2 linked regions of the Astyanax mexicanus genome follow. The protein of the gene in region 1 purifies or fractionates together with the protein of each later gene. This does not show direct contact. Links are inferred from orthologs where the notes say so. Each region holds a gene or a part of one and is shown on either strand. Other genes may lie near its edges. The genes, in order: rbm8a and upf2.

Evidence for each region.
Region 2: the proteins of rbm8a (region 1) and upf2 purify together in Homo sapiens (co-immunoprecipitation; 6 studies listed by BioGRID and IntAct, with this or other methods). This does not show direct contact. The link is inferred for Astyanax mexicanus from reciprocal best matches to the Homo sapiens genes RBM8A and UPF2.

Annotation. Positions count from the first base shown.
Region 1 is NC_064408.1:115,214,744-115,230,920, reverse strand, and holds rbm8a (RNA-binding protein 8A), read right to left. Parts: upstream 6,316-16,177; 5' UTR 6,262-6,315; coding exon 6,195-6,261; intron 4,546-6,194; coding exon 4,486-4,545; intron 4,372-4,485; coding exon 4,294-4,371; intron 3,788-4,293; coding exon 3,651-3,787; intron 2,343-3,650; coding exon 2,206-2,342; intron 1,077-2,205; coding exon 1,031-1,076; 3' UTR 661-1,030; downstream 1-660. Other genes in the region: type-4 ice-structuring protein LS-12, read left to right, coding at 13,974-14,019, 14,138-14,264, 15,707-15,920.
Region 2 is NC_064409.1:45,002,414-45,018,346, forward strand, and holds the start of upf2 (regulator of nonsense transcripts 2), read right to left. Parts: upstream 8,278-15,933; 5' UTR 8,119-8,277; intron 8,034-8,118; exon of another isoform or gene 7,423-8,033; intron 5,868-7,422; exon of another isoform or gene 5,865-5,867; 5' UTR 5,864-5,864; coding exon 5,490-5,863; intron 4,968-5,489; coding exon 4,188-4,967; intron 4,087-4,187; coding exon 3,926-4,086; intron 3,224-3,925; coding exon 3,032-3,223; intron 2,950-3,031; coding exon 2,794-2,949; intron 2,114-2,793; coding exon 2,010-2,113; intron 1,661-2,009; coding exon 1,575-1,660; intron 1,428-1,574; coding exon 1,319-1,427; intron 1,216-1,318; coding exon 1,102-1,215; intron 1,011-1,101; coding exon 894-1,010; intron 1-893. Other genes in the region: protein FAM180A, read right to left, coding at 9,603-9,932, 13,163-13,260. UniProt on the Homo sapiens protein: Involved in nonsense-mediated decay (NMD) of mRNAs containing premature stop codons by associating with the nuclear exon junction complex (EJC).

The sequences.
Region 1 (16,177 bases):
CATTTTTTAAGCCTTAACCAATTTTAGCTTAGGGTGAAGTCAGCTAAAATCAGGGGGTTTAGTTACCCTTTAATCCACTACAAATTCTTCACTATATCAGAGATGTTTTCTGCTAATGTTCCACTAAAGAATTGATTTAAAGTGCCACTGAACACATTTATGGAATTTCTGTCTACAGAATGTATTCAGCTACAGTAAGTTGCACTCATTACTGATAGAAATTTGCACATGCAGTTTGTCTAGTCCCTGTACAGAAGTACTGGCAACAAAATACGACTCTTTGGGGAAAAAAAATAATAATAATATCTATATCTCTATAGCTATATCTATATCTATCTATATCTATATATAGCCATTGGCACCATGTCTATTGGTGCCCTGGGGATAAGGTCATCCTTCAAATACGTACATGCAATCAAATACTCTTATGAAAACACTGTCTGCCTCCACCATATTATAAATGATTTAATGCAACTGCTTCATTGCAATCAAGTGAACCATTATTTACTAAACATCACGAAACTTTAGTTAGTTATTCTGCTAATTTTACACATTTCCAATTTTTAAAAACTGAATGTGTCAGAACAACCACATTGTAACTCTGTAAAAGAAAAGTTTGTGTTTCTTAAAAGCTGAACAAATTTACCAGAGAAACAGACATAGCCCCAAACAAAAATTTATTGAAAGTGTACACATGAGCACCATTTAAAATTAATGACTGTGTATTACTATAGGTGCTATGAGACATTGGAAACCTACACAGGTTTTAAAGGACCAGTTTCTTTAATTTTGTACAAAAAATTAAAAGTAAAACCAATACTATACAGACAACGTAACTTTAATATTACAAATGCTGCTGCAGAGTTCGTTCGGTCTTCGTTACAAAGAAGGCTACACACTGCAGCTGGTGGCAATACGGAAAACAGAAAATAACAAAAACACCAAAATCTAAAAACAGCCCATTAGAGAAACACATGCTGTCACACTGTGTGTGGAATACAAGGCTCTGTAAAAAGCAGAGTAGAGGAAATCAGCGTCGCCTTCTGTCTGGACTTCTGCTACGCCTCCTTCCACCCCTTTGAGAAAAGAAGAGAAACACACATTTGATTATTCACACTGAAGATTTAAAGAATAACACACTAACTCTTTCTGCTGTACCCTGAGTGCCCGTCATACCTGCTGTTTGATCCATTTTTCTCAATAAAGTAATGGGACCTCTCACTGATCGCACAAAGCCAAAATTTTAATAATTTTATACATAAGACATATGAAACCAAGGAAGTCATACCATCATATTCTGTGCAAAATACTAAACACTGCTAACAGTGCAGTAAATCCCTGACAATTACAAAGAGGACCTTGTTCTTATTGGACACGAAGCAATGTGATAATACATTTGTGTATCCCATAAACAGCAGATACCAAAGCATGGTATTGTAGGAAATATGAGCATTGCCAAAATAATAGCAGTTAGTTATCTACACAGAGTGAACGACATTTTCGTCATCTTTACTTTATTTACTGCTCTTATTATTATTATTATTATTATACATTGCGACTTTCTAACCTTCTTTCATTAAATGTCATCTCAAGAAATCATAGCTGATGCAGCATTGTCGAGTATCATCACAGTGCACTCAGAGGAAAGTGCAGTGACTCTGTTCTGATACATAAGCTCACAGATGCCTTGTGCTGATCAACATCACCCTTTGGAGTGAAAGTGGAGAGAGCACCATCTACCCACCCAGAGAGAGCAAGACCAATTGTGCTTTCTCAGGGCTCCAGCAGCTGATGGCAAACTGCACTGCCGGGATTCGAATCAGCATTCCTCCAATCATAGTGGAAGCGCCTTAGTCCACCGGACCACTCAGAGCCAACCCAAACTGAATTCAGTGTACCATTACATCTCTACTAGCTTTCATTTATTGTTACTCATGTTTGTATATTTGGTTAAGATCATCCTTTAACAAGAGAAATGAGAGCCAATAATTCAAATCTATAAAATACAAATAATGCCAAGCATACATATAGATAAGTATTTCTAACCTGATCAATTAGAGTATACAATGTATATATACACACAATATGCAATGGTTCAAAAAACGAAGCAATTTTGATTGTGGTTGTGGTCTTGAATCAGTAAATGAAAAACAAACAAAACAAAAAAAAAAAAGTTATAAAAGTCTAATGTATTATGATACTCACCTCCTCTTGCCCTTTGGTGGTCCCCGAACAAAGCACCAATCAACACTGATTGGCTGACCCATAAGATCTTGACCGTTCAGACCCTCCATGGCAGCCTGTGCCTCCTTGTACGTTTCATATTCCACCAGTGCGTAGCCCTGTGAGGAAAACACCAGTACAAAATGAAGCTCTGAGTAATATGACCATACTTTAATTGATCTTATTTTCTCCCCGAGGTCCACTTACAATATAAGTGTAATTTGGTTTTATATTACCTGATAAACAGGCTGCTGATATGCAAATGCCCTCTATTTGAATGGCCTGTACTGTGCTTCATACAAATAGCACTTCTTATATCTTTAGAACATAGTGAATGGGGGAGGCTGTTGTGTGGGAGGATTTATGTAAATTTGTTTAAATGGCATTAGAAAAACTAATTCAGGGTGGATCTTTTTGTTATAAGGAGGATGAATGACCCATGCTGTATATATTAACAGCTTACATAATGTTTTGAAATTATTTAAATTAACATTATACAATATTATTTTAATACTTTGAGGCAAAATCTACAACAAGCTGGAAGAGAAATGTGGCTCCCTGAGGTAGTGTAGTGGGTTCCTACTGCCTTCCCCAGAGGTTTGATTTCTTATTCTACACCAAGTCCTTGGGTGGATATAACTCTCTTAGGTTTAGTGTCACTCAATCAAACTTTATTTTTACTTGGGTATTGTCCATTTTTCATGCAGCTGAGCATTTATAACTTAAATAAAAATAAATAAATAAATAAATATCAAAATCAAATATTTAAGTATTTCAAGTGCGTCAGTAAAACACAGTAGATGTGGAAATACACCCAATGCATCTTCAATACCTTAAGTAAAAGAAAGCCTCTGTTTGTTCTTATAAAATACTGCCACTTAGTGGTCGCCTGAACACATTATTCCCAACAAATCCCTCTAGTAAGAAGACAAACCCATGGATTCACAGCTTTACACTTAGGGAGGCCAAACTTGGTTTCCAAACCAAGGCAGATTACTGTGTTTTGTAGTTTCTCTGTATTCTTTTTTTTTTTTTTTTTTTTAGTATCAGTTTTAGTAACGTATGACTAGTGTTAGCTCTAGGGAAAGTAAGGAAAAGATAGCTTAATAACAATTATAGTATGTCTAAACAGAAGGTGTACATTAAGTAAATATAGTGAAAAGTAGCTGATTGTTTCTTAATGCTGTTTTTTCATGACCAATAGAAATGAAGCAAACTGGCTTAAAATACAATTTCTTACATAGATTTTCCATGAAATGTAAAGGATTTCTTAATTCCAGTAAATCTAAAATTTTACAGATTTTTGGGAGTGTTTATCTGACATGGACAATGTTCATAGCAAAATTGCGTTGATGTGAAGTATATCGCCTAATTTGTGTGGCACGCAAATATAGAAATTGTTTGAAGGTGGAATGCTGCAGACTTGCCTTAAGGTAACCCGTTCTTCTGTCCAAGTTGAGATGCAGGTTCTTGATTTCTCCAAATTCAGAAAATTTGTCATGGATATCTTCTTCCGTTGCCTCCTCATGAACGCCAGTCACAAACAGGATCCATCCTTCAACAGCTGAAAATACAGCGTGAACAAAAATAATAGAATGATGCTTTTCTTTAATTGCGTAAAACACTCAATTTACTGAAATATGGGGTAAATCAGACTGGCTTCAAGCTCCACACACTTTAAACCACCTCAATCACATTCTTTTAACATTTTCATTCATTTAGGTAGTTTAGAGTCCACTACATTTAGTGTAAAAGGGGGAAAAGTGTGCAAACATTTTTCGCATAATATAATATAATATACTGGAAAGAATATGACTTGTGTAAATGTACATTTCATTTTATGAGGTTGTAAACTGCTTGATTAATTTATAAGAATATCTTTAGTGAGGAACATTAATACTTAAAACATGTTGGAAAACATTTATAACATTATAAAATCACTTTGATGGTGCTGAGGTTTGCAGCCCTATTAGGTGGTTAGAGAGGGGTAACAGTATTAAAGACTAATACCAGTATTAAGAACAATTAACATCATGCCAATTCTTTCCAATATCCAATCTGATAACTCACATCTTTGTGGGCCAGGCTCATCACCATCTTGTTCCACTGTATCATAGTCTTCTCTCACTCGGGACCTCGCTCCTTCCTCTGGTGTTAAAACACAAATATTTAGTTACAGAGTACAGTCAAAAGAAATATATTAGTGTTATAACCATAAAGAGAGAAAACTTTTTATTTTGCACAAAAATCAATATTACTTACCAGATCCAAATCCACGACCCTTCCTCTTCTTTGCCTTCTCCTTTAGCTTGTGGATGCTCTCTGCAAAAAAAAATAAAATACACAGATGTATTCCACTATAAATAACGCATTTGATCAGCACCATTTTAGGTAGAGTTTTTTGCCTCTAGGCAAAGAGAATACATGAAGCTGGAGCTAATGGACAACTACAGAATATTTCCATTCCACCTTAAATAGTGATGCTGATACAGAAGAACATCAATTAACAAAAAAAAAAAAAAAAAAAAAAAAACTTTGCTTCCAAGCAAACTCTAACAATAACTGCAGTCATTACTGGAACTCTCGCCAATACACTCAGACAATACTGAGAGCAGAAGCTAGCGGATTGATCTCATTCCACCTTAAACAGTGCAGCTAATTTAATGTGGAACTAGAGTGCAATAAATAGACAAATATTTATGTCCCCAAGCAAACTCAATAGGTTAGCTAAATCTAGTCATTAGACTAGCTAGCTAATACGCTCAGACAATACAAGAAGCTGAAGCAAGAAGCTACTGGATTTATTTAATTTCACCTTAAATAGCGCAGCTGCTGCAGCACCAATTAGAGTGGAACTAAACAATGCAATACAAAGGCAAGCTTCGTCTACTAATACACTCTAACAATATAGGATCTACTGAATAACCCCTGCATATTTTCCATTCTACCTTAAATAGTTTGGCTGATAGCACCATTTAAGGTGGAACTAAACACTAGAATAAACAGAAGTTTGTTTTTTCTAGGCAAAGTAGGTAAATTACAAATTTACGGTATAAAAAACACGGGAATACAGGCTGGAGCTACGGGACAGGTACTGAATATCTTCATTCCACCTTAAATAGTGCAGCCGCTGTAGCACCCTTGAAGGTAGAACTAAACACTGGAGTAAACAGAAAAGCTTGGTCTCCTAATATATTTAGAAATAAAGAACGCTGGAGCTACTGGACAACGACTAGGTATGTTCCATTCCACCTTAAATAGTTTGGCTTCATAACAGCATTTAAGGTGGAAGGATTTTTTTTGTCTCAAAGCAAAATAAGTAGGCATTACTGGAACACTAAAAGAGTGAATATGACGCTGGAGCTTCCGGACAACTACTGACTATTTCCATTCCACCTTAAACAGCGCGGCTATTCAGCATCATTTAAGGTGGAACTAAACAAGCGTTTTGTCTCTAGTAAGTGTGTGAGTGTTCGTTACTGGAACACTAATAGAGAAAATATAGAAAGCTGGAGGAACTACTGGACAACTACTGAATATTTCCATTCCACCTTAAACAGCGCGGCTATTCAGCATCATTTAAGGTGGAACTACACAAACTTTTTGTCTCTATTAAGTGTGTGAGTGTTCGTTACTGGAAGACTAACAGAGAAAATACAGAAAGCTGGAGCTACTGGAAAACTACTGAATATTTTCTTAAATACCTCAACTAAATAACGCAGACTAATAGGAAACCCCGACATAAGATAAAGATAATAAGCTAAACTGAGAGTAAACGGGTTAAACCGGGTCTGTTTGTTCGGGTTTAGCTCGTGCTAGTCGCGGCGAGGGCGGGCGGACCAGGCCTCAACCGAGCTTTACCGCTCAGTCCGGACAAAATAACAGAAACTACCCGCCCGCACAGCTACAGAACAGCTACAGTACACCACACACGGTTTAAACAGCGGGTTAAACCCGCAGTAAAGACGCACCATCACCATCCTCATCCATAGGAAAGTCTTCTCCTCCCGCTTCATGAAGATCCAGCACGTCCGCCATGATGCCTGTTCGTGTGAGCAGTGATGCGCATGCGCAGTGCGCTCTTCTCTATGCGCGCCGGTGACGCAGTTAAAGCGAGAAAGGAGAGGCGAACCCGGGCAGCGCCGCCTACCGGCTTCCAGCAGGTACAGCCGCCTCTGGAAAAAACTATTAAAAATAGCTGGATTAAAATAATTATTAAAAATTATTTCATTCAGTTCACAAAGTTTCTTCCTTACTAAACTACCTACCTATAAAATGATCATTTTTTACAGACAAGCTTTGTTAAATTGTATATTTTCTTGTCATTTTTGGATTGAAGTAATGATAATCCCATTATAGACCAATACATTTTGTTTATTTGTGATTACCTCTTATTTAACCGCAAATTCAAAAAATAATAGATTTGATTATAATTTTACATAATACTATACTATATACATATGATGAAATTTGCTAACCAAAAAAAAAGTATACCAAACATTTGTATATATACGGAACTAAATAACTATATAGATGTATTTTAGTAAATTTGCGACAGATTAAAAATAAGAAATTACATAGAATTCCATTTCAATTTAAAAACTTTTCAAATTTATTTGCATTCTATAGTTTTTTGGTTTTGATTTTATTTTAGTTTATATTATATAATATGTGATAATGTCCTACAATTGTTTCCATCAGACTTTGATTGACTGCCTTAAGTGCAAGTAAGTCAATTAAAAAGACAAGCTTTAGTTTAAAGTTTAAATCATCAACCTTTAAATATGTGATGCAACAAAAAATTATGTCAATTCATTTCACACTTCTTTGCTATCAGGGTACAGTTTTATCAGTTCAACCAATTGAAAAAAAATCTGGAGTCTTACTCATGCAAATATTATTAAAACATAATAACAAAAGAGCTGCCTTATAACATTATTAAGGTGCTACCAATTAAATGCTATTTTGAGCTTTGTATACATTTTTTCATATGGGTGATGCTGTTATATTTTTAAGGAGCTACTGAAACCATTGAGCACTTGTTTTGTTTATTGTGAATTTCCCTATTCTTTTTGGGTTGATCATTTTCTGGCTAGCACTGCTGGAGCAGCATTAGCATTAGCTGCTAACCACAGCGCTAGCTCTTTCTCCGTTTAGAGGCGAGTATATCAGACTGTAGCCTGCACGTTTACCGTGTTAGAACAAGCAACATGGGACAGACTGTTAGCTAATATCGCCCCGGCTTACAGGAAATCTCAGGGTTCCTCAGTGTAGCATTGTCTGGTGGAATTAGCCGCTAACTGCTAGTGGTTAGCCGTTATTGCTAATGCTCCAGCTTTAGAGGAAATCTGGAAATCTAGGCTTACTGTTAATAAATAGAAGCACTTTACTCACCCAAATAAACAGTTTTCAGGAAAGAAATCTCTGTAGATGAACATCCAGCACTCGTTTGCTTGTCTGACTAGTCTAAAATGCTTTTTTTAAGAATTACATTTTAGTTTACTTAGCATAGCTTTACCTGCTGAATGTAGAAGGAAAACATGACGATATCCCTGTTTCTACTAGTTACTAGTTAGTAGTGTCTTTATGTATGGAAATAGATGTTTACTGGACATTTATTGAAAGTGCACCCTATAATCCGGTGCGCCCTATAGTGCAAAAAATAAGGCACACGAGATAGAAACTGCAAGAAAAATACCTTTATCGCTTATCTTTGTTTATATAGATCTCACAAACACATATAACACAGGTCAGTGCAGGACCCAAGTAACATTTATATTTATATATAAATATATAAATATATATTTACAGTAGCTACCCTGCTACTATGTGTCTGCATACAATAAAATTCCCCTCATCGTGATCTAATAATCTTAAATAGCAGCCTGTATCCTATACGTATATGGTCTATATATGGCCACCCTTGCTTCAGTTGCATTCAGTTCACTGTTTCCTCTAACCCCACTCTGTCTCTCTCGCTTGCTGCGTTGCTAAGCAAGTTTTTTTTTTTCAGATTTTGCCCCAATTATCTCCTCAATGTTAGTTTCAATACTTCGGCTCATGCTGGGAGCTGGAGTGCTCAAATCGCCCAGAAGAAGGTCATTTTAGAAAATGCGCTGCCTCCCATCGGGCCAATTGACTGAGCCATTGAACTGGGATTGGCTTTGATGACGCCACTGGAAGGAGCACAAGTGCTGTTTTTAAATGTGAATTCGGCCATTCTGCCGGCCTCTATGGGGGTTCACACATGACAGAAAAAGGCAGAAAGAAAGAGAAAAACAGGGCTGCCCAGGCCTCTGACATCTCCGCAGCTCAGTAGTGCAATATGTACAATACAACAACCATCACAACGACAGGGCTTTCACAACATCTTAGGCAGCACAGTTGAGGAAAAGTGAGCGTAACAACAAATGTGGCACCAAAAAACGAAGGACTAGGACAGATTTTGATTATACTGAACACCTGCTTTTTTACCTGCTAAAATTAAAACAGCACTTCACTTTTTAACATTTCTATTCTCTATCTGCCTGTTCTTAATGTGTATTCAGTGTCTCCAGACTATAATATATATTTGCATCATGAAATTAGTCTCAAACAATAACTGTTTAAGGGCCATTCCACTAAATGGGTGCCATTTGCTTGTTGTAACTCTTCCAAATGAAAACCACTCCTGTTACTTAAACTCAGTCCTGTTACTGGCACTCACTCCTGTTATTTTTTGTTATGAGTAACAGGACTAAAAGTAACAGGAAATCATAGCATTACCGTTGACAGCCCTAGTAACTACGCGTCATGTGACACAGACAGCAGCAGCTGTCTTTGTGGTTTAAACATGTGGAGCGACGAAGAGCCACAAACACACAAATGTAGAAGTATAAACACCCACAGGTTATGCCATAGACCAGGAGTGTCCAAACTATGGCCTGTGGGCCATTTTTGGCCCGTTTCCTTTTTTGGAGTGGCCCGCAAGATATTTTGAAAATAAACTGAAAGTAGGCCCGCTATTAAGCAGGTTTTTATAATGTGAGATTCAAAGTTTGAACGCTGGGTGTTGCTATCACATAAACTCAATCTAAAACGCTCCTCACCTCCTTTTCTCACTTCATTATATCTACAATATTGTTCCTGAGCTTTTGGGAGAACATGGCAGCTCCAAAGAAATGGAAAATAGACAGCAAATGCAGAAAATTTCAGGCACGTTGGGAAAATGACTGTTTTTTAACTGAGCTCAGAGGGAGGTGTGTATGTTTAATATGTCAGGAATCAGTAATAGACATTATGAAATGAAACATCGATTTGAAAATCTTAGTTTACACAACACTCTCAATGACAGGTAAAGATAGTAACTCAAGTAAAATAATGTGTAAATGATAGTTATCAAGAAAATGTATTATTATAAGTGGTATATTTCATTATTTGTTTTATTACAGAGTCTGTGGCCCGTGACTGCACATTTATTTTTCCTTCTGGCCCCCAAGAAAAAAAAATTGGACACCCCTGCCATAGACAGTGTGATGACTTCACAGAGAAGTATAAACCAGAATTTAGGAATTAAGTGATTGAGACTATTTGCGTTATATAAAGCAGAAGAGTTGTAGTCAAACTGTTGCGTAACTTGCTAGTTAATCACACTATTATTAATAATGTGCTGTTATTGATCTATTAGCTGTGCAAACTTTCCAATGTAGCATTTCTTTGCAACTTTTGCACATACTATACATAAAACATATGATGCCGTTGTTTTGCATTGTTATTAGCCACGTAGGATTCCCCTGAGGATGAAAAAAAAAGTGAGGCTAAGTGATGAAGACGAGGACTTGTTGAAACTGGTATTAAAACAGGCAGCAGTTTTGTCTACAGTAATCTACGTTACAGCAGATAAATTAGATTAAGTATTAATTAATGCAGAATTTGCACATTGTACTGTATTTATTGTCTATTGTGCTCTACTTGTCTGTCCACCTTATCATATATTTTGTCTTTTGCTCTTACAAAACAACGGCAGTGGGTAAACTTACAAAATCAGCAAGGGATCAAATTATTATTATTTTTTCACTGTATATTTATAATACACAATGGACATCTATGCTTATATAGCAAAATGTGGTACCACTTTAAAATAACACTACCTTTATAAAGGGGTTAAGAATGGTCTATAAAGGAGATTATTAATGGTTATTAATTAGGCTACAAACTTTAAAACTCATTAATAAGCAGTTAATAAATAAATAACAGTACTAAGTTAAAAAAATGGCAAACACTCATTTCTACTGTCAAACCTCATATATTTCTAGATACTGATCTTACTTTGTGTTTTCCATCAATCAGCATTAAACTTGTCATATTATATATTATATATTTGTAAGTATGTTTAACTATTTACTATAAATGAAATGACTCAGTTAAGTCAAATGACTAAACAAACAAAGGATCACTGTTGCCTTTTTAATTAATGTGTTGTAACTGCTTATCAAAGGTTTTAAGGCATTCACAACCTAATCAACAATACTTAAAAATCTAATTTATAAACCCTTTATAAACCCTTTATAAGGGTAGTCTTATTTTAAAACCACTTTAAAATAAGACTACCCTTATAAAGGGTTTATAAAGGGTTTATAAATTAGATTTTTAAGTATTGTTGAAAAAATATTAATTAAAAATGAAATAAATGTATATATGTAAATGAGTTTGATACCCCTTACCAAATCAGACTGAGTATGAGCAGGTAAAATACTGTATCCTCTAACAGACAAAAAAACCAAGATACAGGTCAGTGTGTGGTCATGACCTTTTATCAAACTGAAAGTGGACTTCAGCTGAACGTTAGTCAGCGTGTATCACCAGCACGACCTGCAGATAAAGCCAATCAGCGGCTGATATAACCACAGTCGTGTTGGCAAGACCAGACTTCGACCTGCTGAACAGTAAACTAACATGTAACTGCTGTGTAGTCACTGTGCCACAGGTTTCATCAGCACACATAATCATTATCAACGTAATTCAGCAATAAAAAGCATGTTGATAAAGTGCAGAGGGATTGAAAACAAACCAAAACGTGACAAAGAAAGAAAATACATAAATTAAAGCCAGTCAAATTAAATAAAAAAAGGTCAAAAAACTGTAACGTCATTTCACATCACATGCTGTACATGAGTTGGAACAAAACTGTATTCCCACAATCCAGTTCCACCCAAATGAGCAATTGTTAAAACAGGTAAATATAAAGATAAAGTAAAATAAAGATAAAATAATAATAAAATATTATTTTGTCCATGCCCTTTTGGAGTAATTTCAGTCAGCCGGTCACTCCTGGGAAGGTTCACCAGTGTTTCATGTTTCCTCCATTTGTGAATAATAGCTCTCACTGCGGTCTGCTGGAGTCCCAAAGCTTTAGAAATGACTTGTAAACCTTTTAAACAGTTGCAATTAATGTAATGTTTGGGATTTTGTTTGCTTATTTTACCAGGAGTGTACTTAGTGTACAAATTAATAAGTAAATATAACTTAAAAAAAAAAACGGATCTTAAGCTATTAATGTAATACTAACTGTTTTAGTCTTTAATTTAGGCATTTTCTTTCTCAGATGTTTTTATATTATATTAAAATATTTATAATGAAGTTAGATTTTTTTCAACATATTGTTTAAGAATATCAGCCAGAAAATATAGATATTGGGATACCATGATTTTTATTAAAAGCAGTCTATGTTGTATGTGTTTTGCTATTTGCTGCATTTACTTTTTTTATTAATTAATTTTTCATTATGCTACACTAATAATATTTCATACAAAGTATAGGGTATATACTACTTTGTTTATATTTACACAAATATTTCACACATTTCACATATTAGTACATAGTTTGGGCTAGTTTGGTTTGGACAGTTTTAGTTTTAGTTCCTTTAATAAATAAAATCACCAGCTTTATTTACACTGAAAGGTGCCTGCACCACAATGCATGTTTTAAAAATACTTTTTTTTTTAGCATGCTTAAGGCTTAACTACACACTCTTACTAAAAACTTACAGACTGTCACATTAAATATAAATATCTACAATAGATATTATGATTACAGCCTTGCTTCATACCTTTAAAAAACTTTTTACAAATATTGTAATATAATATTTTACCACAACACCCACCCCCTGGTTAGGCCTCTCAGCCTGAAATCATTTAACAGGAATCAATATCATAATGACAAATATTACATATACTGATATATTTGAGGTGTTTTAATAATTAAAACATGTATGTACAGTGTAAATTGGTGGTAATTATTGTATTTCTATGGAATAATGTACATTATGTGTAGTTAGTGTTGCTGATAATGTTAAAGATTATCGCTGAACATTGACTTTAAAACTTCACAGTGCCAGATAAAGCCTCAAGGTTCACTAACGATACTCACACACATTACACTGAGTGATCTCATCAATTCAGATCACCCTTTGAACCCTGCTCTTCACTCTGACCCAGCCTGTATAAAAGACCTCAGCTCCTGAGACAATGCACCTTCAGGTCCTACATTACCCCACAGAGAAGGTAAGACCTCTGCTACCAGTCTGTGTCTCTCACTTTTACCAACCTAAACATAGTTATAGATGGCTGTATATAGATTCTTTTCTATGGTGGAGAATCTTTTGATTTAATTGTTGTATAAATCTTTAGAGAACCTTTTAATCTATTGCAATTAATGCAATGTTTCTTTTTATATTTTAATCAAGAGTGTGCTTAAATAGATTAGTAACTAAATAGCACTTTTAGAAAATGGATATTGTAAGCTATTAATGTAATACTAACTGGTATAGTGTTTTTTTAGGCATTTTCTTTTTCAGATGCTTTACTAATATTAAAGTTTAAATAATGTTACTTTTTTTCACCAAATTGTTTAACAATATTATCAATAAAATCTATATATAGTGATACTATAGTATTACTAAAAGCAGTCTATTTTGTATTTGGTTTGCTATATTTGCTGTATTTACTTTTTAACTAATAATTTTTTCATTATGCTACACTAATAATATTTTATACAAAGTCTAGATTAAGTTACTTTGTTTGCCAAATACTACTTTGTTTATATTCACACAAAAGACATATTTATATGAATTATATTTATGTACAGCTCTGGAAAAAATAACAAGATCACTTCAGTTTCTGAATAATTTTCTCTGATTTTGTTATTTATAGGTTTATGTTTGAGTAAAATGAACGTTGTTATTTTATTCTATAAACTACAGACAACATTTCTTCCACATTTCAAATAAAAACAGTCATTTAGATAATTTATTTACAGAAAATGAGAAATGGCTGAAATAACAAAAAAGATGTAGAGCTTTCAGACCTCAAATAATGCAAAGAAAACAATTTCATATTTATAAAGTTTTAGGAGTTCAATATTTCAATCAATATTTGGTGGAATAACGCTGGTTTTAATCACAGTTTTCATGCATCTTGGCATGTTCTCCTCCACCAGTCTTACACACTGCTTTTGAATAACGTTATGCCTTTACTCCTGGTGCAAAAATTCAAGCAGTTCTTTTTGGTTTGATGGTTTTTGGTTTGATGGTTGAGGTTTTTAATTTGGTAAAATCAAAGAAACTCACCAATTTTAGGTGGTCTCTTATTTTTTTCCCCAGAGCTGTATATTTATATTTTTAATTTGTAGCAATGGTATATAAAAAAATGAAATAACCCATCCATTTATTGTGTTTCTATTGCAGGCACGCCTTGCTCAGTCAGTCTGCAATCATGAAGTTCTTCCTCATCGCTGCCCTTGTTGTTGCTCTGGCCATTGGTAAGCTTTATATAAGACTAATAATGAATATAATTATTAATATAAGAATTATATAGAAGCAATACTGTTCATATTTTATTTTTAAGGACATTAACCCTAGTTGCACTTTGTATCTCAGGCTCTGAGTCTGCCAGCCTGGCCAAGAGAGAGGTGCCCGAGGAGCTGCAGAAGATGGGCCAGTACTTCCAGGGCCTGGTCGATGCTCTGAAGACAGTTGAGGGACCTGAGCTGGCCAACATGGCCAAGTGAGTTTCAGACATGCACTGTTTCTGAGCTTTTTCACTCACCTGTGTGTAGAATCTATACAGAACTGGCATTTTTAGAATGCTTAAAATAGTATTTATAAAGATATTTAACATTTTATAACACATAATTGCATTTATCAGCTTTACTGACAGAATTAATGATTTAATACACCTTCTGTGTTTACATAATTAAAAGTTATTTTACTACAATACCCAGAATGCACTATAGCATAGCCACTGCTGTTTTTGAGATTACCAAATAGTAACATTAGCCAGCCAATATGTTAAACAGCCTATCAGTAAAAATGTATTCTGAAGTGATTATATATTTTCTTAAGCTCCTCCCAGACACAGATTTATCAGAAAGGGGATTTATCTCTTCTTTAAATAGTAAAATTTTACTCTAATTTAAATACTTTTGCGAAGCACTGTAGGCAATGGTTTACATCTTTACAATGGATATATCAAACACAAAAAATTACCCTTTCAAACCCAAATATGTTCCAGTGATAGAGAAAATATAGTAGAGTGTAGTTTTCTAATTGCAATGCACTAAAAAACAAGAACAATAAATAAGAAATGAATGAATGAATGAAATAAATAATAAGTTAATCAGTAAAATAAATTCAGTGTTTTATATATTATTTCATAATTAATACTAATTAGTATTAGTATGATTAGTATGTTGGCTTTTGCAGGGTTCCATTCATTTTACACCTGATCACAACCACAGACAAAAAACGTAACTTAAATATATATATATATATATATATATATATATATATATATATATATATATATATATATATATATATTGTCCTGCTTTTCAAAGGTAAAAATATATATGAATATTTTAAAATATAAATTGAAAACTGAACATTTTTAACCAAAAACGAAAATGACATAAAATGAATTAGGCATTATTCAGTACTAATTTATTCACTAATTTATTTCCATATAAAAAATTAATTTAAATTTTATTATATATTTGCTGCATCCCTATTTCGTGTAATTTAGGCATGCTTGGCTGGAGTGCTGACATGTTTTTCCTTAGTGTTCGGATATTTTCATAGTGAAGTGGGTAGAGCAATGCAGCAATTTGATTGGCTGGTAAATGTCTATTCTGATGGTCAACAGGTCTCAATCTGTTTTATGTGCAATAAAACATAAAAAGAAGAAAAGAAAAAAAACACATAAAGCCCATTGCAGTGGATGCAGATCCTTAAAGGGTTAAATTAGAATGAAGTCATAGTCCAGACAGTATTTAATATAACTTTTATTGCCTTTTAATTGCACTTCAATTTCTATAAAAAGTGTGTAATAACATTCATCACAAATTAAATGGAATATTTACAGTTTAGATTAGAGTACTGTATAACGGGTCAGGCATGAGCTCAGGCGTGATCACTGTGCTGAACTGCTGCGTCTGTGTCTCTCTGCAGGACTTACGTCGAGCAGAGCAGAGCCCAGTTCCAGCCCATGGTGGAGAAGCTCCACGAGCAGCTGAAGCTTTCCAACATCGACGAGCAGATCAAGCCACTGGCTGCCTCTCTGCAGGCCCAGATCTCCCCCTACACCGACCTGGTGCAGACCCAGGTGGAGGACGTGCTCAGGTTCATGGTTGACCAGACCAAGGCCATCCTGCCCGCCCAGTAAAAGCTCAGATAGAGGGATGTGAGAAACAGGTCTTTGGGGAAATCACCACCCTTTACCCCCCTTCCCCTTTCAGATTCCATCACACATCACTAATGTGAAACAATAAAGGGGTTTAAGGCCATTGCTGTGTGTCGACTCTTCTTTAATTAAACAAACTACTGTGTATTTTATTTTAATCTGGTTCCGAAAAAGAGATTATAAAAAAAGTTAGACTGGTGTAATGTATCATATACAGCTGTGGAAAAAAATTAAGAGAC
Region 2 (15,933 bases), on another chromosome or scaffold:
ACGAAGAGAATGAAGTAATACAACTGGAAAACATCGGGATGAGAAGCCAACAGCTCAAATAACACACAACCTCTGCTATTGGGACAGAAACTAAATCAAAAAAGGAAACTTATCACAGTGTTTACGATCATTTAAATTGCTGCTTCATCTGTTTTGTAGTAAGCAAATGATCAAGACCTCTTCCACAGTCACTTTGTAGAGTTTATTGCTTTTGAAGGTACCCTGCACCCTGCATTTTAATGCTTCTAGAACCCCGATTGCCAACATCCATGCCAGATGAAGGATGTGCAAAAAATGGGAGCAGATACTGAAATGGATGTATTAATCTTACAGTAAGCTTAGATTTTCCAATATTTTCAGTAAAGTTTCCCCTGGCTGGGTTCAGCATTAGCTGCTAACCGCAGTGCTAGCGGGATGTAAATGCTTCACAACTGCGCTAGATTGAGGAATGTGTTAGTCAGTGTTCAGGTAACCCAGGGTGTAATCAGCAAGCAGTTTGTCCCATGTAGCTTGTTTTAACATGGCAAACACACCGACTACAGTCCAATATACTGGAACAGCAAAAGAGCTAGCATTGTGGTAGTGGCTAATGCTAATGCTAATGCTGCTGCACGCAGCCTTAGTTCTGATTTTTTTTTTTTTTTACTGAAAACTAACCCTCATAATGTGGTACTTTAGTGAAGTGGCTTTACTCCTCCTTAATACCGGGCTGGTAGAATTTATACATAAGGCGCGCTGAATTATAAAGGGCACGCTGCGCCTTATAGTCTGAATAATATGGAACATAAAGGCAGTTTAAATGAGCCTAATCTACTAGACAGCACAGGGACACCTGTGGAACTAATTGCAAACCAAAAATACATTAATTTTGCATGCTTATTTATAAGCCTCACCAGTAGAACGCTGGTACGCAGGTGGGATTCAGGTGATCTGAAGAGGAAACGTCCACATGTCTCCAGCAGAGTGCAGGCCATTTCAATATGGTGATGAGAGAAATCAGACAACAGCATCTAGAGACAAAGCACATACACTATTAGATACACAAGAAAAATATCAGTAAAATAAAAGTAGTGAATTGTACCCTGGTTAATGTTTTCTCACCTTCAGACAATGCAGAGTGTCTGTTTTGGAAAACATTTTGAATTTGGACAACTCTCCAATAAATCTCACAGTTTTATTTTTGGTCTCAATGTTGATTTGGTCCTTCTTTCTCACCTACAAGAGAAATGGATAAATCATGACATGAAGCTGGGTTAGCAGAGTAAGTGGGTATAGATGTGTAAAAACTGTCATACGAGGCCAAGAGGAAGATACTAACATGGAATCTAAAGTCTCCTTTGAGCATGGAGCAGAGATCCTCCGCAACATCAGACATGCAAGGGTGCAGAGTAGCCACCAGCCTTGAGTAGAATGGCAACAGATCCAGTCTAACAGCAGAAAAAGAAAACACAAATTAGCAGAGATCAAAGTCTCCAAGAAAAAGATCCAAAGAGAGAGCTATGTTAGATAAAGCAACAGCTCTATCTAGTGTCAATTCATTATCACTGCATGTACAAAGATCAAAATGAACACACCTTTGCCTGGGAACAGTGAAAAGGGCACGAACAAGCTTCCTGCGGTTGGACTTTGTGTTCATATTCATACAGAAGTCCATCGCAGCCTTGAAGTAAAACATACACACAAAGATATTTAAACTACTTTAAAAGCACATAAAAAAATAATTTTACATTATATCTGAATATCATATTATTCTTTCCTATCAGCATTTTACAAGACAATAAACACACACAGAAAAGCCAGCTACTGGACATCTAAATTTAGGCCTACATATTTCAGTTCTGTCTCGTGCAACAGGCCTAGTATTGTTTATAAAGTGTACACCCACACACTCTCATTCAACACGCTATTTATAGAACGCCTGATATCATGAAACCAGGCGGAGCAAAATAAATAGAATGACAAGTGAAGAGTTGGGTGCTCTGGTATGCAAGACATAAATGTAGGTTTACCTTATCAATAAGATCTCTGTTGACACAGTTGGGAAGCTGCTGGATGAAGGCATCAACGATGAGCTTAAGATGAGATCCAGTGCTGGCATCTTCATCCTCTTGTTCTACACACACATACGCAAACAAGCACACAGTGACAATAAATTAACAAACAGTCTCTCTAGAGGTGCATTAACATTAAATTGCTGTTCTTTACAATGTAGTACTTAATTTAACTCTATAACTTTATATTATATTTATTATATATTAATTATTTCACTGACAGGTCACTTTTTAACATCACCTCCTGGTTAAATCTGTTTAACCACCACAGAGCCGCTGTTATTTGGAGGTGGTAGAATATTAGTGTATGTTTTGTTGCAAATAGTGAATCACACAGCATTTCTACTGGAGTGTTTAAATAACGCATACACATCTACTGTTCATTTTACTAACACTTCTACCTAAATGGTCCACCATAGATGTAAAGTTAGAGAAAGATGTTCATCTGTTGCTGCACAGTTTCCAGTTTATGATGATGTTTACTGCCATCATCATGTCAGTATCACTGCCTCACTGAGTGTGATAAATATTAATAACTAAATAATATAATAATATGTTCTGTGGTGGCCTTTTGAGGTTGTGACCATTAATGAAGAGGGTGAACGGAGGCAGAGGAACTGATGGACTGCAGTTTGTAATTACTGTTTTACAATGTAATACTATATGGAGGTATTGAAATTGACAATATGGAGAAATTAATGTATTGATTTATGTACACTTAAGTAAATCATGTTATAACCACCTTGCTCATCTAGTAGTTTCTTGGCCAGTTCTTCACTCTCTGCCTCATCAGCACCTTCCAGTTCCAGAGGGTCATCAGTGATGTCCAGAGCCTCAAGCTCCAGCTCTAGCTCCTCTGTGCAACTTGCTTCTTTCCCATCACGTCCCTCCTTAGTTTCTGAAGAGGAAGCAAAGACTCCACTTTAGCTCAACTTAATTATCAGACCTCAGGTCTTAAAGTGACAGCAACCATTTACTACCTTTGTTTTCTTCCCTATCTTTGCTCTGACAGGCCTTTTCATTGTCCTTGAACAGAATGGCAGGAACAAATGCCTTCAGGTCTACCAGGTTTTCATAAAAGTTTCGTGCATCCTCATCCTCCCAGATTCCTCCTTCAAGCTCATAGTCTCCTGGCTTCCCCGGGGTGAAGATGTCAATGCCTGGACCATGCTCTGCAACACAGACATCACACAAACACATTGTTCATACAACATAAATAGTAATTCACACACCTCTGTAGGGATCTATGTTACTAATTAACTCCTGACACTCATAAAACCACATTTAACCACTATTCTGGGTTTATAACCATTATAAAACTGAAAGTTATTACATAACAAACTTTTGCAAATTCTATTACATTAAATACTGTGTCACAAGGTGTTATTGCAATAAACAAAAACGCTTAATGTTTGTCTGAAAACAAAGGGCTGGTTTGCTGGTTCACTAAGTCTTGGACTATATCTTGGTGTAAACAACAAATTGAACTGAAACCACTGAAAATGTTTTGTTGTTTAAAACTTTAAACATTCATTTGAACAATATTGTGAGATTGAGGTAACATAACTAAAATGGAAGAAATGTAAAGCTAAAATATGGTCATTAGAAATGCTTTTTTTTAGGCTAGCTGTTAATTTACCAGTACTTATGAGGTGCACCTCATTAAATGCATTAGATGATAAGGACATTATTAGATAATATTTGTGAGTATTATTTATAAACATCAGACATTTCATTTGGTTCATACACTTGTTCAAATGAACTGGCAATTCGTGATTGAATATGCTTAACCTCCAGAGTATTTTGACTTTTTTGAAGGGTCTATATCAAAACCAATTTGTGTTGTAAAAACCCTGTTGTGCATGAGTTTGTACCTTCTTGGACAGTCTTATCCTGAGGCAGCTCAGGCATGTTCTCATCCAGCAAATCAGCCAGAGACTGGGTGTTGGCCAGCAGTTTCTGATAGCATGTGGCAAACTCCTCATACTGTTTATGCCTGTCCTCACTCAGCTCTCCTTTAGAGTGCAGAATACGCCTGAAAGATAAGGAAATAGAGCATAAGAGGTTTTTAGAAGAAGCTCCAGTACACCTACACTAAAGAGATACACTGGGCTGATGGTTATGACATTTGCTCACCTGTTTTGCCTTTCAGTGTTCTGAAGCTCTCTATGATCTTTCTTCAGGTGTTTGGTAAGAGAGGTAAAATACTCTCTCAGCAAATTCTGGAAGGGCTGCTGCTTCTCTATATTGATGATCTCACTCGGAGGGAATGTCAGGTTAAACTTCTCAGCTGCACTCTTCACCCGACGAGGCACCAGGCCAGCAATGTCATCTCCACAATGCTTGCAAAAGCTTATTACCACCGAAACGTGAGTGTGAGTCTCACGGTCAGCACTGATAATGTTCTTCAGTTGCTCATAGATGAGAGAGAGCCCTTCCTTATCAGTGAAGAGACCCACTATAGTCAGCTCAGCAATGAAGCGTAGGTCAGTGCGCAACTTGCTCACGTTTGGAGCCTTCTCCTCTTTGCGCGCCTCAAAGTGCCTCTTCCACGCAGCCAGAAGGAGAGGGGCAAATTCAGCGTAGCGCTGGTGGAACAGCGAACACAGGTGTACAGCACAACCCACATCAGAAATCTTAAGCTTGGCCTCCACCAGTGAGCTGACGGCTTCTCCAATGTATTTGCTGAGATTGAGCGAAGCGAAGTCGTGCGAGAGGGAATCACGCTGCTGTTCTGTGAGTGTGCGGAGCTTCTTGACAAACGCAGTGTTTTTCTTGAGACTGGAGTCCAGGCGACTGAAGAAGGCCTCCTCGGGACGGCTTTCCTGCACATGCTGGTTCTTACCTCGCAGCTCCTTCCTGGTTTGGTGTCTTTCCCATGCCTCCTGGTGCAGCTGCTGCGCTTCCTCTTTCTCCCTACAACACAAACACATTAGCTGAAAACTGCAGCAATAGAGCTACATTTACATGTACACCAACAGTTAGATAATAGTTAGTCCATTTTAAACTTCTGAGACTGATATAAATATAAAAATACCATAACAAAATAACATTTGTGCAGTAATTGTGATACAGTGCATGTGATAATAGCTTTCAAACATCAACTCATAACAGAGGATGAAAGGGTTCACATAAAATGCTTAACAATTTGTCAGAAATATTAAATACTCAAATATTTTAAAGGAAAAGGGGCAATAATGTTTATAAACAATGGGGAAAATGTTACATAGGAGGTATTTACCTTTATATAGTCAGTCTATGCTGCTGTAAATCTAATTGGAACTATAAACATACTATAGTTTCATAGATCTTTTTTAAACCTCTTCTAAAATTTTTGTCCAGTTTGTTAGATTACCTGTGAACATACTGGGCTGTACACTGGCACTATACAGAAATGCTAAAACTAGTCAAAGTCGAAACCTCTGTCAGAAATCTTACTTCAACTGAGCAGCCTCCTCCTCCTTCTGTCGTTTGGCCTCCTCCTCAAGCAGCTTCTTTTCCTGTTCCTCCTGTTGCCTCTTCTCTTCTTCCTCCTTCCTTTTCTGCTCTTCCTCAGCCCTTAGTTTTTCTTCTTCTTTCTTCTTACGCTCCTTCTCTTCTTTCTTCCTCTTCTCCTCCTCCACTCGACGCTTCTTGTCATCCGCAGACTTGTTGCCATCCTTCTTGCCACTCATTTTGCTCTCATCTTTGCCTTTGTCTCGGGAAGACGTGGGTCGCCTATCCCCATCTCTATCTCGCTCTTTCTCCTTGCTGGTGTAGGAGACTGTTTCCTTGTCATCCATGTTCACTGACTTTTTGCGTTCAGCAGGCATCCTGCTAAAACATCAGACATTTCTTTTTATTTTGGGATGTTCTATAAACACAGCATGAGCAAGCAAATAGAAACATCAACATTTTCTGTTATTGCCAAAGAGTGATTCTACAGGGTTTTCCTACTGTAATATAGCCATTTGTCTCAGCAAAGGCTCAACAGGTAATGAGTTAATTATGGATCACCTGTGTTGGAATTAGAGGAATCTCTACCAGGGCAATGGTAGCTAATAAAGGACCAGAGCTGGGTCTCATTCTTAAGTTTGTATGTAAAGTCTCTACTAAGTCCATAACACTACTTAGCTTTAAACTATCCTTTCACTAAATGTGGTTACACCACAAGTCTATATGTTGTGTCTTAACTAGTAACAACCAACTGATGTGCAGTAACCACTTTTACATTAAGAAATTAAATGTATGACATGGCAATCAACAGGTTGCCATGGAAACTTGGCATATAATGGTTTTCATTGGTTTAGTTACAACTTTCCTCTCAGTGTCTGTGAGGGGTCACAATATTTATAGAGGCCAAGTACTATTTCAACAGTCACACCCTGTTCAAACACTTAAATATAGAAGTATTTTTATACAAAAATATTAAATCTGCAATCAAATGTTTAAGATTCAAAACAGAAAATAATTTACTTGATTGATTATGGGGATATCATCAGTGCCTAAAGAACATTAACCCAACTGTACATTTAATTACAGAGAGTGTAATTAATCATGTTAAACTGGATGATGTGCAGCAAAATCACTGTACTATACATAAAACAGTATTTTAAACAGCAGATTAGCATATCTGCCACATGATAAATACTATCATGAAAACATCTATTAGTGTGTGATCACAAACTTTGCAGTTATGTGGAAATTATTTTAGTTTTTCTTTTATTTTTGTGTTTCTGTGGAGTTTGCTGTTGAAATCTCTCATTTGTTTGTGCTTCATTATTTGTGTTTCTATATAAATATAATCTGTAATTAATTTTTTAATAAGATTTTATATTTTTGTGTAAAACTTTTGGCAGAAAATCAACCTCATAAAAATATCCTTACCAATTTTACATTTATTTTTAACTGTACATGGACAAAATACTGTCAAACACAAACAGCATGTGAGAAAATCCAGCAACCTAGTTTGTGTGGAGCAACCTGTTTTGATTCAGTAATGCGGAAATCTGAATGTAGTAAACACTTAACCTGGTTTGTTACGTTAAAAGTCACAGCATAAAAAAATAACATTTTACACACACAATAACCTGAAATCTAAAGCGAACTAAATAAAGGCGTTTATGTTGCTATATTTAGCAGAACGACTGTGTGACAGGTGTACTATTTAACGCGTAAATCTAACAACTTTTAAAAAGTTAGTTTAGTTAGCCAGCGTTCGTTAGACAAGAGAAAGCCAGCTAGCTAACAAGCTACATTATTTAGCTAGCGTTAACTTCAGCTAGCCACTGTAGTTAGTAATACAAACGTAGGTAATAGTTTAGTTCATACCTTTTATAAATAAGTTAACACATTAGAACAACATTAGTTTATGTTGAAGAAGCAAACACACCATAGTGCACACCAGGAGAATGTAACGTGAGTGAGCTGCAGTTGTAGCAGTGACAGCTGTTCTGTTCAAAACATGAACCGAAGTTATGATTAACTATAAAATTAGCCAACCTGGCTAGCTAGCTAGCTATACTGTCTACGTTTACCGCGTTCGTTCTTTATTTCCGCCCGAATACTAGCTAGTTAACTAGCTAATTCCCACATACCCAACTGAATTATGGCCTAAATAAACTTACAAGTTATTGTAAAATTGCGTATAATAGAAGTATCTTACGGCATTTGCCCGTTAGCAAGTGAGCTAACTCCGTTTGCCATAGAAATCTAAACAGCTAACGATAATAGCGAGTTAGCTAGCTAGCTGTTAGCTGTCGAGAGTTGTTAGCTAACGCTAGCTAACTAGCTTCACACTTTACGCGCCCCTCACTCCGCACATTAACCCCCGCTATATATCGCTAACAATCCAACAGCGCGGAATAAACGCAGAGCTCCTGCTGTCTATCTGAAGCTGTCTTTAGATAGCTGTCTGTCCGCCTCTCGGTGAATCAGTAAGTGGTTAGCAGAGTGTCAGTAATAACAGTGTTAGCTCAGCTCAGCTCGACTGAATTTCAGGCCGCTCTGTAAACATTACCGAGCTGCTCGATACCCCGCACTACCCACACAAACCCTCCCCAAACCGCCACCAGCCCCGTTATCTTACCTTCAAAACAACATAAACAACATAGGGCAGTTTTAGCTGGGTGGGCTACTTTTTCCTCTGCCTGCTTTGGTAGGAAGGACCCCAAATCTAGCTCTGTATTTCGTGCGCCTGAACAAAATAAGCAGCGCTGCAGTCTGGTCCAGAGGAAGAGCAGAACATGTCGATCATGGCGCGTTAGAGAGGTTAGCTATCATAACAGCTCATAAACTGATGTGGGTGTAGACCTAGCTGGTGCACGAATTAACTCTAGTGAACCTTTCCCATTTTCCTCCTGAAATTACACACTATTGGGGTTTTCTACTCCTGCATTAAAGCTACATAAGGTAGATGCAGTTTCATAAACTGCCGCGTTTCCAAATTTAATTATCACAAACTGAGGATTTCATGCCCTCCCACGCTTTCATTTTGTTCAGTTCAGCGCATTGTGACTGTGGGTCTATAAATATACTTTCACAATTCAGCATCTCTAGCTAACTAGGTTAGTTGTTTTCCCCAACTTAATCCTACTGCAGAACAAAGTATATGTACACCTCTGAAAGTGTGAAAGTAATTTAAGCCAGAATCGCTTAATCAAAAACTCTGATCATTCAAGTCGTATTGTCATGAGCACACTGGACAGTTTTTTTTTTTATCTCACTCACATGATATCACCTTTCTATTTGTACAGGTGTGGGTGTTTTTCAAGCTGTTTCCTAAGTACAGCTCTGAAAATTATGAGTTTTCCTTTTATTTTACTAAATTAAAATTAATCTGAATCACAGCCATCAAACCAAGCTGAACTAAATCCACCATATATTGATTTCTGATCTCCTAAAACGTTATAAATATGAACTTGTTTTCTTTGCATTATTTGAGGTCTGAAAGATTTCCGTCTCTTTTGTTATTTCAGCCATTTCTCATTTTCTTCAAATAAATGCTCAATATTTTAATTTGGAATTTTGGGGGAAGTTACTGCAGATAACTATTATTTATTTTAACAAATCCATATGGCAGTCAGACATTATATGTTGGCAACTCAAATAAGCCACAATTCCAGTCTTAAATCATATGCAGCTGCCTTTTATTGATTTTTAAGGCTCAGAAAATAGGTTCCCATGTAGCATTTGTCTATGTTAATGAGATAAAAATGATCACTGAAACTTGCGGATAGCTCAATTATGTTTCTAAAAGTTTACATGAAAAAAAGGAACAAATACAGTAGGTTAGTCAGATATTATACAGACAAATCCGACATACAAAATCTGACTTGAGTACATCCCAAATTTGAACAGGGGTGTCCAAGACTAAGCATACACATATACATATATCATATGTACAAGTCAAATATAATGTTTCATTTATCATATACACGTCTAATAAGTTTGTATAACAGTTCTTTAACAAACCAAACAAAAATAAAAATACAGGCCTCTATCACCACTCCTATCACCACTCCTTTCATTAAAAGTTTATTGAAAAGTTCATTTAATAAAGAAAGTTATCTGTCACTCTGCTCTTAGATCTCCTTTAATGGCTTTATAAAGCTGAAGAAAGGTGTCTGCCCACAGCTCCCTCTGGTGGCCTGCAGTTGCCTGTGTGAGTCTCTGAGCTGTGTACACCATGGTGAGCACAGTTCGCTCAAAGTCCTCCTTGTGTAGGTGACCCCGATGCTGTTCCAGCTGGTGGCAGAGGCGGCGGATGTCTGACAGTGTTCTGGGAAGGACGTCCTCGCAGACCACCTCCAGAGATTGCAGCCGCCTCAGAGAAGCTAACTCCTCATCAGCCATGCGTAGCACACCTTCCCTGGCATCCACATACAGCCCTGACCACAGGGCCTGAGCCACAAACAGACAGACAATCATACAGACAGACATTATTAAAAGAGATACATTTAGAGCAAAGACTCCTTGGACTGTTTCAGTTACATTTGGTATAAAATCCTACAAATAGTATCCTACAAATAAATCTAAATTTACTTACTGATAATAATACTGAATATTGAACAATGTATTGATAAAGACCTGAACATTAGTAAAATATTTTATATATATATATTTATGACTGTAATGCCACAGTTCATTTTGACTGTGCAGTGTGACCAGTCCCCTGACAGGATATCTGTCAGTTTTTCTTATTTGTCAGTGACCTTCAGTCAGAACACCAACCCTATTATTTCCATTTGGTAGCTGAAGTCCCGTGATATTAGCTGACAGATTGTATTTTATGTTTTGATACAATAGATGGCGTATAGCAGCACCAGTAGTCAAATTAGAGATTAAATTCCAAAATTCCAGTCTCAATCCAAAATCTATACATAAGCTTAACCTCAGTCCAAAACCTAACCATAACCTTAACCTCAGCCCTAAACATAACCCCTAACCTTACCACAAATCAATACTGTTACCTTAACCTCAGTCCAAAACCTAACCATAACCTTAACCTCAGTCTAAAACCTAACCCTAATCTTACAACAAATCAATACTGTAACCTTAACCTCAGTCCAAAACCTAACCTTAAACTTAGTCCAGAACCTAACCATAAACTTAACCTCAGTCCAAAACCTAACCATAAACTTAACCTCAGTCCAAAACCTAACCCTAATCTTAACCTCAATCCAAAACATAACCCTAACCTTAACCTCAATCCATATGATAACCCTAACTTTAAAACAAATCAATACCCTCACCTTAACCTCAGTCCAAAGCCTAAGCCTAACCCTAACCTTAACCTCAGTCCAAAACCTAACCCTAAATTTAACCTCAGTCCAAAACCTGACCCTAACCTTAACCTCAATCCAAAACATAACCCTAACCTTACAGCAAATCAATACTGTAACCGTAACCTCAGTCCAAATTCTAACCCTAACCCTAAATTTAGACCAAAACCTAACTTCACCATAACCTCAGTCCAAAACCTAACCCTAACCTTAACCTCAGTCCAAAACCTAAAGCCATACCTCAGTCCAAATCCTAACCCTAAACTTAGACCAAAACCTAACCATAACCTTGAACTCAGTCCAAAACCTAACCATAACCTTAAACTCAGTCCAAAACCTAACCCTAACCTTAACCTCAATCCATATGATAACCCTAACTTTAAAACAAATCAATACCCTCACCTTAACCTCAGTCCAAAGCCTAACCCTAGTTTAACCTCAGTCCAAAACCTGACCCTAACCTTAACCTCAATCCATATGATAACCCTAACCTTAAAACAAATCAATACCCTAACCTCAACCTCCGTCCAAAACCTAATCTTAATTTTAACCTCAGTCCAAAAACCTACCCCTTACCTTAACCTCAGTCCAAATCATTACCCGAACTTTAGAAAACCTAAATCTAACTCTGGCCATAATCCAAATCCTGACCTCAAAACAAGGCCTAATCCTAACCATTATCCTGACACTAGTCCTAAACTTAACCTCAGTCCATGAAAGTGAAAAACAACTGAATTCAGGAGACATCTTCTGTAAAAGTCTGTTGATGATCTACTGAATGTTCAGATGCTGCTACATTACTGATATGTTTTTGATAAGATACCTAATAATTAACTGCTATTTTTCTTGCAACTCTTCAGTCTCCTAATAAATTCCATTAGGAACAGGGGTTTATATTGTATATTACATTGTACTGGAGCACATTCTATCCAGAGAGCAGTGTTCCTGCAGCTTACATTTTCTATTAAAGCCCATTGCCCAGGTTGAACAGGGCCTGAAGAAACACGTTATCGAAGTTTGTCAGATTCTCTCTACCATCACACTTTCTCTCACTCTTGTTTTATTAACTTCCATTCTACTTTCATGAAAAAGTCAGAGATTGTGTTGTGATGGAATTTCATTTTTCTCCTGGTACTTCTGAAGGTAAAAACTCTGTTTCTGAAAGAGACAGACAGAAACACTCGAACTCTTCTACAGTGTGTTCGGGAGCAGCCTAATTTGTTTCAAAGCAGTGTAGAGACGGAGCTCAGGGCTTCTGTAGGAGAAACAGGATGAGTCTGTATGTGCAGGTTTGTTGACTGCCTGGTGGTGTTTGTGCTAGTAGCATCATTGCTTGCCTTGTTTACCTCAGTGAAGAGAAGTTGATGGATACAAAAGTATTGGAAAAAAGTAGAAGCTCCATTGGGCTAAAGAAAAAAAAATGCTGTGAGGATCTCGGAGTCAGACAGAAAAACTGATGTAAGAAAGTCTGTGTTTATCTTGTGTTTGTCTACATGAATTTAAGGTCTAAATTGTTTAGGTTTGGTCATGTTGTAAGTGTCATTTCAATTTCTACTTTAATGCTGATTGACAGGTACTGGTCAAAAACATTGTTGCCTTTACCCACATGCAATAAGTCAACCAAGACACGTTATAAAATAAAGTTAAATATAAAGATAGTGAGAAATACTTTACACAATACATGTTTTACTTTAAACACTACATACAGTACATTTGGCTTTGTATGTTGCAATTGCAATGTTAAAGAGAATAAATCCACATGGTTCGAGGCAGATGTGTGATGTTCTATACCTGCAGTGTGCATTATACACTATATAACAGGTGGGGTACAAGCTTCCCACATAGCTCCAGACAGTGCACACCACCTACCAGACATCAAATACCCTGTATTTATTGACACACCTATATTTAATAATATGGTACAGTGTGACTGTCAGTCCTGTAGCTGTCAGTCTGCCAGCTCTGGACTCTGAACTACACAACAAAGACTCCAATTCCCAGCATGCACTTACAACAGACTTCCTTGACTTTGCTGATCACGTGAAGCTTTGACATTCCCACTCTCCCAGTTACTGATTGTTTGCACCTGGCCTGTCTTGTATATATACCTCTCTGTTTTCTTTGTCCCTCACCGAGTATTGAATCTAGTTAGCTAGCTCTGCTACAATGCGTTTCCTTTGTTTATTGCTTGTGTAACCCTCATTTTTGTTTCTGACCATCGTCCTTTGCAGACCTTTTTTGTGTCTCTGTTTATCCCTTTGTCTTGCCAAAATTGTATTTCTTGATTAGGGATTTAGATTGTTGGTTCTCAAAACACAATACAAGGTAAAAACAGTGGAGGGAACATACCTCATAGACTAAGTTGGTGTCCTCCACAGTTTTCTGGATGGAGGGGTTAAGTAGAGTTGGTGTTCCTCTCTTTACTCTGAAGGCAGAGGGGTACAGTGCTGAAAAAAAGAGGGTTTAAGGTCAGTGAGTTCAAAGGGTGAAGGGGAGAAAGGTTTATCTTCACTTCATAACCGTGACAGACCTTAAACCAGAACACTTTAAACATCTGGTGGGAGAGGACTGATGGACTGTCTGGAAGTTATATACCCTTTGACTGGCAGGTTGAGGCTTTATCAGGGACACGCCTCATCTGCTTACAGGTCACAGCTTGTCTTTAAAGCTCTTCAGACAGCTCCACTGTGGGGATTTCAAAGCAAGCATCTGTGTGGCAGGCTTCTGCTGCCGTATCTGCCTCTCATCAAGTCTGCAGTCACACCAAACAGCGGCCAGCCTGATGCATGATAGTATAAGGTGACTATATAATATCTCTTCCCCCAGACATCAGAGATCTTACAAAGGTGTGTCTGGATTTTTAAATTCCAGAGCTTGCAGTGATCTCATGTCAGTGTGTGCATCTAAAGGTCAGCGCTCGTGCTGTTAAAGGATTTTTACAGCTTTAAATACATCTCTTTAAGTCCTGCATTTTCGGCCCCACTATTGGTCTATATGTACCTGCTGCATGTAATTACATGCAGCCACTGTTCCTCCCGCTTTGCAGAAAAAGACAGAAAAATAGAGAGATAGAGAGAAAGGGAAAGAAAACTAAAAAGAGAAAACAGAACACTGTATAACAAGAACAGAACAGCAGTCCTAAAAAAAAAATAAATAAACACAAAATCAGTAAAAGAAAAATATGTTATGATTGTCTCTTAGTGAAACCATGTGGACCAAATATTCTGAAAGATCCATAAAAGCTTGAATCTAACCAACTACACAAAATTGTAGTCCGTAAAATACATCATGTGCGCTAAAATATTCTAATCAAACTTTATTTTCATACAAAAAAAAAAAAATTAATGTAAAATATGGTAAAAGCAGTATTTTTGTTCACTTGAGTTGAAATAAAAGAAGATGATTTGGTCATAAAAAGTAAAGGTACATGCACACATTACATGTACATTAGCTTTATTACATCCGATTTTAAACATATATGCATTGATATGAATCATCTGCATTAATATGGAGTGTGGAACTTTACAGTTATTGAATCAGCAGAGCATTGGGGACTTTTCGGCACTCAAAGATCCCACTCTGTAACTTTACTGTAACTGTCAGACACATTGTAGCACTTAGTTGCTGTGGTTCCTCAAAGCTTTCATTTTAAAGACGATTATAATATCCCTTTTGTAATTCCAGGACCATAATGGAGTTCAGTGAGCTCTTTGGAACCAGCCATTCTTTCTATAATATTTGTAAAGACAGACTGTAGGGCTAGATGCTTAAATTTATACACATGTGGCAATGCAACAGATAGAAACACCTCAATTAAGTGATTAAGATGTGTTTAACATTTTGTATTGTGTATAATATCCTTAGGAATCACTAGTATCACTATCCCCCCAACACTAGAAGTGTAAAGTCTCGCACATACGTCTTCCAACACGTATGAAGTTAGCCACAGTCTCTTTTTGAACTTCTGCTAAAATAGTAAGTGTTCTTAGAGGTAAGCACTGCTCCCAAGCTCTGATACATCAGCTAACAGATGCCTGTGCTGACCAACATTACTTTGGTAGTGCCAGTGAATTAAAACCGGTGATCCTTGGATAATGGTGGCAGCGTCTTAAAGCGTTAACTTAGCGTCAACTTAGCCATCCTTGAACTTCCTCATGACAACATCCCAACCACAGCAGACACCGGCATGTTTCCAGTGTTGTCCTCTTAAAAAAAAAAAATCTAAAATATGGTCACCATATGCAAGTACAATTGTTCAGCATATGCCTACAAGCCTTACTACAGATATCAGCAGTCTTTGTCTACTTTACGTAGGGATTTGGCATCAAGTGGACATATGGAACAGTAGCCACTAATAAATCTTTAACCTCTTGTTGCAAATTTAAAGCAGAAACATGTTTTATGTGCTTTCCATGGAATCCAACAAGCGATCACACAGTGCTGAAATTCACCAGAAAGGCACATGTGACTGAGAGTGCTGGAATGCAGTCCACTCACCCCAGACACTCTCTTAAAAACACGCCGGTGGTTTACTGGACGCTGGTGTTTGAAATTGAAATGCCTCATGATGTCAGAGAAACCTTCTTAGCACCTGGTTAAGCAGCAAACATACTTTACAGTCATGGCCAAAAGTGTTGGCACACCAACGGTATTTCTAGCAATTATTATTTTAGAAATGTATTGCAATCATATGTTTTGTTATACAGATGTTTATTTCCTTTGTGTGTATTGGACAACACAAAAAAAAAATATTTTTTTTAAATGGGCCAGAAAATATTGGCATCATAATTATGGTTAAATAACTTTGTCTCAAGCATGTGATGCTTGTTTAAAGTCACCAGTGCCAAGTATGTGGGCAATATAAACATTACATCTGAAACCAATGCCAATGGTATAAGACACTGGAGCATGAAAACAATTTACTATGCCTCCTGTCAGATACAGATGTATGAAGTTCCCTAGCATTAGGCTGTGATGCTCTGGAACATTACCTGAATTTGTGTATCTTCATCTTCACTAACTATGGGATGAGTGGTGTTTTTAATCCAGATTTGATCATCTAGTATCAGTATATCATAACACCATTGCTCTCATGGCTTAATGCAATTAAATCCTTACAG